Sus scrofa: one gene and its partner. Each later gene encodes a partner of the first gene's protein in a complex. Links are inferred from orthologs where the notes say so. Each region holds a gene or a part of one and is shown on either strand. Other genes may lie near its edges.

Evidence for each region.
Region 2: the proteins of RNASEH2B (region 1) and RNASEH2C are in contact, whole or in part, in a crystal structure (PDB 3PUF), measured with the Homo sapiens proteins. The link is inferred for Sus scrofa from reciprocal best matches to the Homo sapiens genes RNASEH2B and RNASEH2C. Residues at the interface, in NP_078846.2 of Homo sapiens: Arg14, Gln15, His16, Val17, Phe18, Leu19, Val20, Ser21, Glu22, Leu24, Leu35, Met36, Phe37, Val38, Lys39, Leu52, Glu62, Lys64, Phe66, Glu68, His70, His71, Ser72, Trp73, Phe74, Ile75, Asn76, Gln77, Ser78, Val79; in NP_115569.2 of Homo sapiens: Ile9, His12, Arg13, Val14, His15, Leu16, Ser18, Ala27, Thr28, Leu29, His30, Leu31, Leu32, Pro33, Cys34, Glu35, Val36, Ala37, Val38, Asp39, Gly40, Pro41, Ala42, Pro43, Val44, Gly45, Phe48, Phe63, Val75, Pro77.

Annotation. Positions count from the first base shown.
Region 1 is NC_010453.5:16,908,869-16,913,448, reverse strand, and holds the start of RNASEH2B (ribonuclease H2 subunit B), read left to right. Parts: upstream 1-1,642; 5' UTR 1,643-1,782; coding exon 1,783-1,834; intron 1,835-4,580. UniProt on the Homo sapiens protein: Non catalytic subunit of RNase H2, an endonuclease that specifically degrades the RNA of RNA:DNA hybrids. Participates in DNA replication, possibly by mediating the removal of lagging-strand Okazaki fragment RNA primers during DNA replication.
Region 2 is NC_010444.4:6,561,391-6,564,889, reverse strand, and holds RNASEH2C (ribonuclease H2 subunit C), read right to left. Parts: upstream 1,798-3,499; 5' UTR 1,723-1,797; coding exon 1,551-1,722; exon of another isoform or gene 1,361-1,550; coding exon 1,176-1,360; exon of another isoform or gene 1,097-1,175; coding exon 977-1,096; exon of another isoform or gene 736-976; coding exon 709-735; 3' UTR 609-708; downstream 1-608. Other genes in the region: histone acetyltransferase KAT5, read left to right, coding at 10-144.

The DNA of each region.
Region 1 (4,580 bases):
TGGTTTTCTGCCATGAAATCTCTTCCTGCTTCTTTTTCCTCTTGTTATAAAACATCTATGTTGCTATGTGTAGCTTTAGTTCATTGTTTCTGACTGCTGCATAGTCCATGTAGAGTATACACTGCAGCATCTTTTAGAGTAACGGTTTGAAATAAACTTAGTATTGCACACGAGGGCATGGTCACGTAACCTTGGCACATGAGCAGTGTGAAACAGCACGTCTCCAGTCATAGTTCTGCATGACATGGGAAACTTGTTTACAGCAACGTTAAGGGAGAGAAGCAGGCAAAATTGTTTCTGCACTGTGAAAACAACCACATGAAAACACACATGAAAACAGCCGGTGGCTGGAAAAGATCAGAGAACGACAAAAACAGCTCTAGAGCAATAATACCGACCTGTTGCCTGCCCCGGGGCTGGCATCTGGGTCTCCCTCCTCAACGGTCCTCTCTGCCAGGTGTGGCCTGCAGTCAACTTACTTAGCTGCATTTCTCCCCCCTCATGGGAAATGGGATTGAAATTAAAAAAACCCTTCAGAAGGCTGAGATAGATCTAGTGCTGCTGAATTTAACTATCTTCAAGATTTAAACCAAAAAACCTAAGTGCATTAAAGTTATGTATACTCATAATGCATGCATATTCAGATATATATGTGTATGTAGGAGTATATATATGTCTATACGTGTATAGACATATATATACACATACATATATCTTTTGCATTTTAATTAACATTATAAAGGGAAATGTTTCTGTTTTTGAATATCTTTTGAAGAAAAATAAATATACCCCAAATACCATTTGTGCAAAAAAAGAAAAAAGAGAGACATGAACTTGTGAATGGCAAGATCCTGTTAGAATAGACAGACTTAACAGTAATTGCCCCTGGGGAAGAGGGCTGGAGATCTGGGTTATTAGCAGGGAGTCATACTTTTCTTTAAAGTATGAGACAGATGTTTATTACCACCTTTTCTAAAACCGTGTACAATTAAAATTTTATTTTAAAAGTTTAAATCTTCAAATTTCATGACTCTAACTTTTTAAATAACGCTTTTAAAATGTCTTGATTAACTCATTGCAAATTGTCTTTCAAAGCAAATGCATATTTTGAGCCTCAAATTGTGCACCTCTTCGTAGTGACAAGGACTAACCCCAAGTTGAGGACTGCTTTACCTGTGTCACGAAGCACACAGCACACTAGATTCGGGCATTACTTCCAACGCAGGATGCAAATAATAATCAAGGTACGATGACCAGAGTAGCATTAGGATTTGGACGTGGATTCGCTCCAGGCTTTCCCTTCTGCCAGGTGTGTGCGAGTCCACCAGCCTTGGGGTCCCCACTCCCCCACTGGGAAGACCCTGGGCCGCTGCAAGCAGAGACCCGGCGCCCCGGGCTGAAGCGATCCGCCCGCCGCCGCCGCCGCCGCCGCCGCCGCCGCCGCCCTGGGTCGCCGCCCAGCGCGTCGCGTCACTGGGCGCCGCGGGTGAGCACCTCCCATTGGCCGCGCCGCGGGGCGGAGGGGCCGCGACCCTTTCCGCCGGCCTGGGCCTGGCGCTCAATTTAAACACTTAACCTAAGCCACTGGCGGGCTCCGGAAACGAAACGAAAAGAAAGCCCGAGGTTCTCCCCGCGGGCCGCCCTCCGGGCCCGCCCTCTGCACGCTGCGCTCCTCGGTAAAGTCCCTTCTCCCGCCATTTGCCGCGGGGCTCTGGCCGGGCCCGCGCTCCGCGTGCAGAGGCCTGCGGCCACCCGGAGCGCTCGGCGGGCACGGCGGGCAGCATGGACCGCAGAGACGGGGCTTGCGGCCGGCAGCACGTGTTCCTGGTCCCAGGTAAACACGACCGCCCCGGGGCAGCGGCGCGCTCGGCCCGGCCCCTTGTCCCCCAACCGCCGCGCGGGAGCGCGCGCCGAGCGTCCGCGGGGGCGGCGCCCAGGCGGGTTCTCAGCGGCGGCCCCGGCGCGCGCACCCCGGCGGGCCCCCCTGTCCGCGCGCAGCCGAGGTACACCCCGCGCAGGCCCTGCGCGCCCCTCGGCCGCGCGCGCGGGACTCGAGTGTCTCTCGGAACACGTGGTTCTTCATTTCGGTTTCAAGTTCTGTATCTGTGCGTTTCAAAACCCGAGCTGGAAGCGCAAAAACCGACCGAGCGGATTTTCCCCCTTGGGGTTCTTTGTAGATCAGGTGGGCTGGAGACTGCGGCCCAGGCCAGCGGAGAGCGGCGCAGGTTCCGCAGTTGTCCGCTCCTGGGATGTAATTTGATACCCCTCGCCACTCGACAGCCGGCCAGGCATCTGGGACCTACTAGATCGGAACCGAGGATCCAGTAGACCCGCATCGGCCTGGAGGCTGTGGTGTCTTAACCCCATCCCTTCCCTGGGACAGGCCTTGGTTGGTGAGGCAGGAGGGAAGCTGTGTGGCAGGGGTTAGGACAAGGGTGATTCAAAGAGATTCAGGCAGGTAGCTAATGATGGGAGTGGTGGAACCTGCCTTTTCAGCCTCCCCGGGGTGATGATTCAGGGACCGCAGAGGCTTCGGATGATGGACATCAGTTGCCAGCCATGATTGGCATGAAGTGTCAGAATAAATGGAGTTGGGACCAGGGAGTGCAGGTCAGAAAGGTTTGGCCCTTTCATGGGATGATAGATTGATTTGATGACATAACATTGGATATAAGGAAAACCCATTGTTTTCAGTATCTAACTTGGAGACTTTATTCGGCAAATATGGTATTTTTCAAGTAAATGATACTCTGATAACAATATAGATGGCCATTAATCTAGATTTTTATGGTGGATATTGAAAATTGTTACATGACAATCTGTCGATATTTTTTGTGTTTTACTTTTTCTCCATTTGTAAAGAAGTATGCATATAGTAACATATACAAGTTTAAGCAGGTGCAACTCAATGAACTTTTCATATATCTGTACCCCTGTAAGCATTCCTCATGTCAAGACCTAGAACTTTTCCAGTAGGCTTCTCTTACCTGTTGCTGGATAGCCCCAGTAACCCCGCTGCTGACCTCTGTCACCAGAGGTTCCTTCTGCTTGTTGGGGTAAGTGTGTGTTCCTTGGTGCCAGGCCTCTCTCACTCAGCGTTACATCTGTAAGTTTCATCCATATTCTGTGTAGCAGTAGTCTGGTTTGTTGCTTCCTATGTGTCTTTATCATATGTATGTTCTTAATATTTATCTCGACTTCTGTGAATGGATATTTAAATTATTTCCTGTTTGTAACCATTATGAGTTACACTTCTAAGAACACTCTTTTTAGGAGGCTTTCTCAGCAGTGTAGACTTAGGAGTGGAATTGCTAGTCCTGGATACTGTATGTTCAGCTTTGGTAGATGCTGCTCAGCGGTTTTCCAAAGTGGTAGCACCGATTTCCACTCTCACTGGCCGGTTGCTGCACATCCTCAATGGAGATTTATAGTTTGTAGAGGAAAAGTTCATGCAAAGTTCAGGTCTTCACAGAATCCAGCAAAGGGCTACCCGATACATGCTTTACCGTAGAAAAATTCTCACTGTTGTCACATTAGTTCAATGAGATTTTAATGATGGGACTCATTAAGAATCAAGTGGGTTATTTTTCTTCAGATGCACGTAATGACTGAGAATAATTCGAGTTGCTTATCTTGTTCTGTTTAGTCAGTACGGACATTTTCATTCTGGGTTTTTTTTTTTTCAGGTTTATTTATTTATTTATTTATTATTACTCAATGAGTTTATTACACTTGTAGTTGTGCAATGACCGTCACAATCCAATTTTATAGGATTTCCATCCCACAACCCCAGCGCATCCGCCGACCCCTGACCTGTCTCCTTTGGAAACCATAAGTTTTTCAAAGTCTGTGCATCAGTATCTGTTGTGCAAAGAAGTTCATTGTGTCCTTTTTTCAGATTCCACATGAGTACTGACATTTTCATTCTTAAAGTATGTTTGTGTCCTCATCACATTAAACGTAAAAACCTTTAAGGTAATTATTGATTGCATCTCTGGAAGTTGTAGGTTTAATACGTCTACTGGCTGGTGGCAAGAGGAGTTTCAGTCCAGTTCCTGTTCAGAGCTGAGCCCGTACTGTGGCCTCTGAACTTTTTGGAGGAGGCTGAGCCAGCTGTTAAGGAACTGTTAAAAAGCACAGTGTATGTGGTTAGGCAGGCGGTTTGGAGACAGAACTTGAGCTTCTAGTGCCTGTAATTCCTCTAGCTGGCCTTTACTGCCACCTGCAGGCTGTGGGGGTACAAACACTGGTGTTTGATAAGTAACTGCTGTGCCACTGTGCTTCTCAAACATGAGGGCATCAGTCACTGGGGAGCTGGGTACCATCCCCAAAGTGTCTGATTTTGTACATCTGGAGTGGGGGCTGAGAATGTACGTTTCTAGCAAGTTCCCCAGTGATGCTGATGCTGCTGGTCGGAGGACACCCCTAGGAACCACTGCAGTAGCACCAGCCCTTGGGAGCTAGGAACGGCCAGTCTCAGGCTTCGCTGTCTTTATGGTGGACCAGAATTACCAATGGCAGGGCAGTGCATGTCGGCACAGGGTACGAGGCCCATCTCCACACACATATTTGTTGTTCTT
Region 2 (3,499 bases), on another chromosome or scaffold:
CCCGTCCAGGGCCAGTATATCCTCACACTGTCGGAGGACATCGTGGACGGGCATGAACGGGCTATGCTCAAGCGGCTTCTTCGGATCGACTCCAAGTGTCTGCACTTCACTCCCAAGGACTGGAGCAAGAGGGGAAAGTGGTGACCAGGCACTGCCCATTAGCAGTGCCGGCAAAGCCAGCAGAACTGGGGCTGACAGCCTATCCCGCCCCCACTGGGGTCTCCAAGAGGCACAGCAAGGGGAGACAGGGCTGAGGACAGCTCCACAGGGAGAGGACAGGCCTGGTAAAGGCCAGCTGGTGCCTAGCACCAAGGAGAGCTCAGGGCTCAGGTCAACTCCAAGGTCAGCTGGCTGCAGGCCCAGGCCTGCTGTGAACCAGGGACCAGAGGGAGCCAGGCAGCTGTGTACAGTGAGATAGGGGGTGGGGTGCTCTGTACAGGGGGCTGGTGGCTGTACAATTTTCTTTTGTAAAGTAGGAATGGGGGGGAGGTACTGGCTGCAAAATTCTGGCCTCTTTTGCCCCACTGCCCCCTGGCAATAAACTGTTTCTATGGGCCAGAGCCATGAAAGGTTCTTGTGGGAGAAGACAGCACTGGCACACTCACAGGTTCTGTGAAGAGCGCCTTTATTGGGGTGACGAAGGCTCCCAAAGTGAAGGGGTTCACTGGAGTGAAGGGATCAGTGGCTTTCAGTTTCAAGGTCTGGTTTTCAGTCCTCTGGTACCTGGGCGTGAATCTGCAACAGGAGGAAATCATCCCTACTATCGGATTGCTGCAGTATAGTGACTAGCTGGCCCAGATACTCAGGGCAGAGATCCAACTGCTCAGAATCATAGACAGGACAGGGAAGAGTGGTGGGAGGCCATGCTGCCCCAGTGTTTTCCCCAGCCCCAAAGCCCCAAGTCCACTCAAGGGCAAGATTCAGCAAACAACTCTGAAGGGGAGCCTGGGAGGGAAGGGCCCATCCATCCACTCACCGCTGCAGCAAGGCTGGGCCAGGTTAGGGCCCCACGCACTTTGGAATCCGGACCAGGGATAGTCTCCAGGCCCCACAGGGTGAAGCTGCTGAAACTGGCTGTGGCGCCGATAAAGCGGTCCTGGGGAAGGGTCCCAGCTCAGCACCCGAGCCGCCGCTCCCGCCTGCACTCCCTTCCAACCCTATACCCCGGTGCTCACGAAGTCCCGCTCCAGCGTCTCCGGGGATTCCATCACTTCGTGGTCCTCCTCCGACCCCTCCGAGAAGTCCTGCTTCCCCACCGACACCTCTCCCTGCTCTTCTGTCATCACGTATCCCACAAGGCCGGGCGGCACCGCCACCTCCTCGCCGCGCAGACTGCGGCCCCGGAAGGACGCTTCCAGCCCTGGAAGAGGCAGGCGCAGGGCCACAGTGACGCCTGATGCAAGGCCTAGCGGGGCAAGCCCGGGAGCAGCCGTCCCCGCCACCTCCGGTGGACCACGAGCCCCGGGAGCCCTCGCGCCGCTCCTTGCCGAGGAGAGCCCGACGCCGGCGCGGGGGCTGCCGGGAGCCGTAGTCCCGCCGCGAGCGCTCACCGTAGGGACCCTGGCGGATGGCTGGGGTGAAGAAGCGCCCCACCGGGGCGGGCCGGCTAACCGGGACCTCGCAGGGCAGAAGGTGCAGCGTGACGGGGGCGGGACTGCGCAGCGTAAAAGGGCGCAGGTGCACGCGGCGCCTGTGCACCGACTCCTCGTCGCTGCTCTCCATGGCTCGGCCGCACCCCGCCGCTCGCTGGCTAAGGCCGAAGCTGGCGCGTGAAGCGCGCAGAGCCTGTCGGGAGGCCCGGGACTCTCAGCCCAGAGCTTCCTGGGAAGCGTAGTCCCTCTTTGAGGCTTCTGCAATCTTGTCCACCGGTGTTCAGGTCCTAGATTTTTTTTCTTTTTAAGGATTCAATGAATTTTATTATAATTGTAGTTGTGCGACCATCATAACCTAATTTTAGAACATTTGCATCCCAAACCCAGATTCCATCCCAACCTGAGGCCTTTGGTAACCGTAAGTTTTTCAAAGTCTGTGAATCAGTTATTAAGTTCATTGTACCCCTTTTTTAGATTCCACGTATAAGTGATAGTATATGATGTTAGTGTCTCACTGTCTAACTTCTCTTAGCATGGTAATTTCTAGGTCCATCCAAGTTGCTGGAAATGCCATTATTTTCATTCCTTTTTGTGGCTAATATTCCATTGTGTATATGTACCACATCTTTATCCACTCCTTCGTTGATGGATCTTTAAGCTGCTTCTGTGTCTTGGATATTGTCTGTAGTGCTGCAATGAACATTGTGTTACATGTATCTTTTCAAGTATGGTTTTCTCTGGATAGATGCCCAAGAGTGGGATTGCTGGATCATAGCCAAATGCTCCTTGGGCTCCTCCTCCCAATGCCAGATCCCCAGGTGTTGGGAACCTGATGTAGGGCTCAGAACTCTTACTCCCGTGGGTGAGCCTCTGCAATATGGTTACTTTCCCGTCTGTGGGCCGCTCACCCAATGGGTATGAGGTTTATATTGAGTAATCGCCCTTCCTAATATCTTGATGTGGCCTCCTCTTTGTCTTTTGGGGTAGGATATCTTTTTTGGTAGTTTCCAGTCTATTTTGTTGAAGGTTGTTCAGCAGTTGGTGGTAATTTTGTTGTTTTCATGAGAGAAGGTGAGTTCCAGTCCTTCTGCTCTGCTATCTTGCCATCTTAATCTTGTCTCTCCCTAGATTTTTTTTTTTTTTTTTTTTTTTTTTTTTTGCTTTTTAGGGCCACACCTGTGGCATATGGAGGTTCCCAGGCTAGGGGTCGAATTGGAGCTGCAGCTGCCAGCTTAAGCCACAGCCACGGCAACATGGGATCTGAGCAACATCTGTGACCTACACGACAGCTCAAGGCAATGCGCCAGATCCTTAACCCACTGAACGAGGCCAGGGATTGAACCCAGATCCTCATGGAACCTAGTTGGGTTCGTTAGCCACTGAGCCACGAAGGGAACTCCTCCCTGGAAAGAATTCTTAATGTGTTCCATTCAGCTACGAAAAGTCAAAAAGTAACAGCCGACACGTGTCCAATAAGTGCTAAGGACTTCCTGCAGGCAGCCCAAAGGGAATGGAGCCTCAGGGTGGAATTAGTGCCCTTAGAAGAAGTGAGCTCTGGAATTCTCTCTGTGGTTCAATAGGATTGGTAGCGTCTCTGCAGTGCCAGGATGCAGGTTCAATCCACGCCAGGTGCAGTGGGTTCTAGATTTTTTCCTTGAGTTTTCCCCCCAATGGTATATTCTTAGTGTAAAAAATTAAAACAAAAAACTTTAAAAGATTAAAACGATTCCTTGAGTTCCTGTTGTGGTGCAGTGGTTAATGAATCCGACTAGAAACCATGAGGTTTCGGGTTCGATTCCTGGCCTCGCTCTGTGGGTCAAGGATCCGGCGTTGCCCTGAGCTATGGTGTAGGTCACAGATGTGGCTCAGATCCTGCGTTGCTGTGGCGTAGACCAGTGGCTACGGCT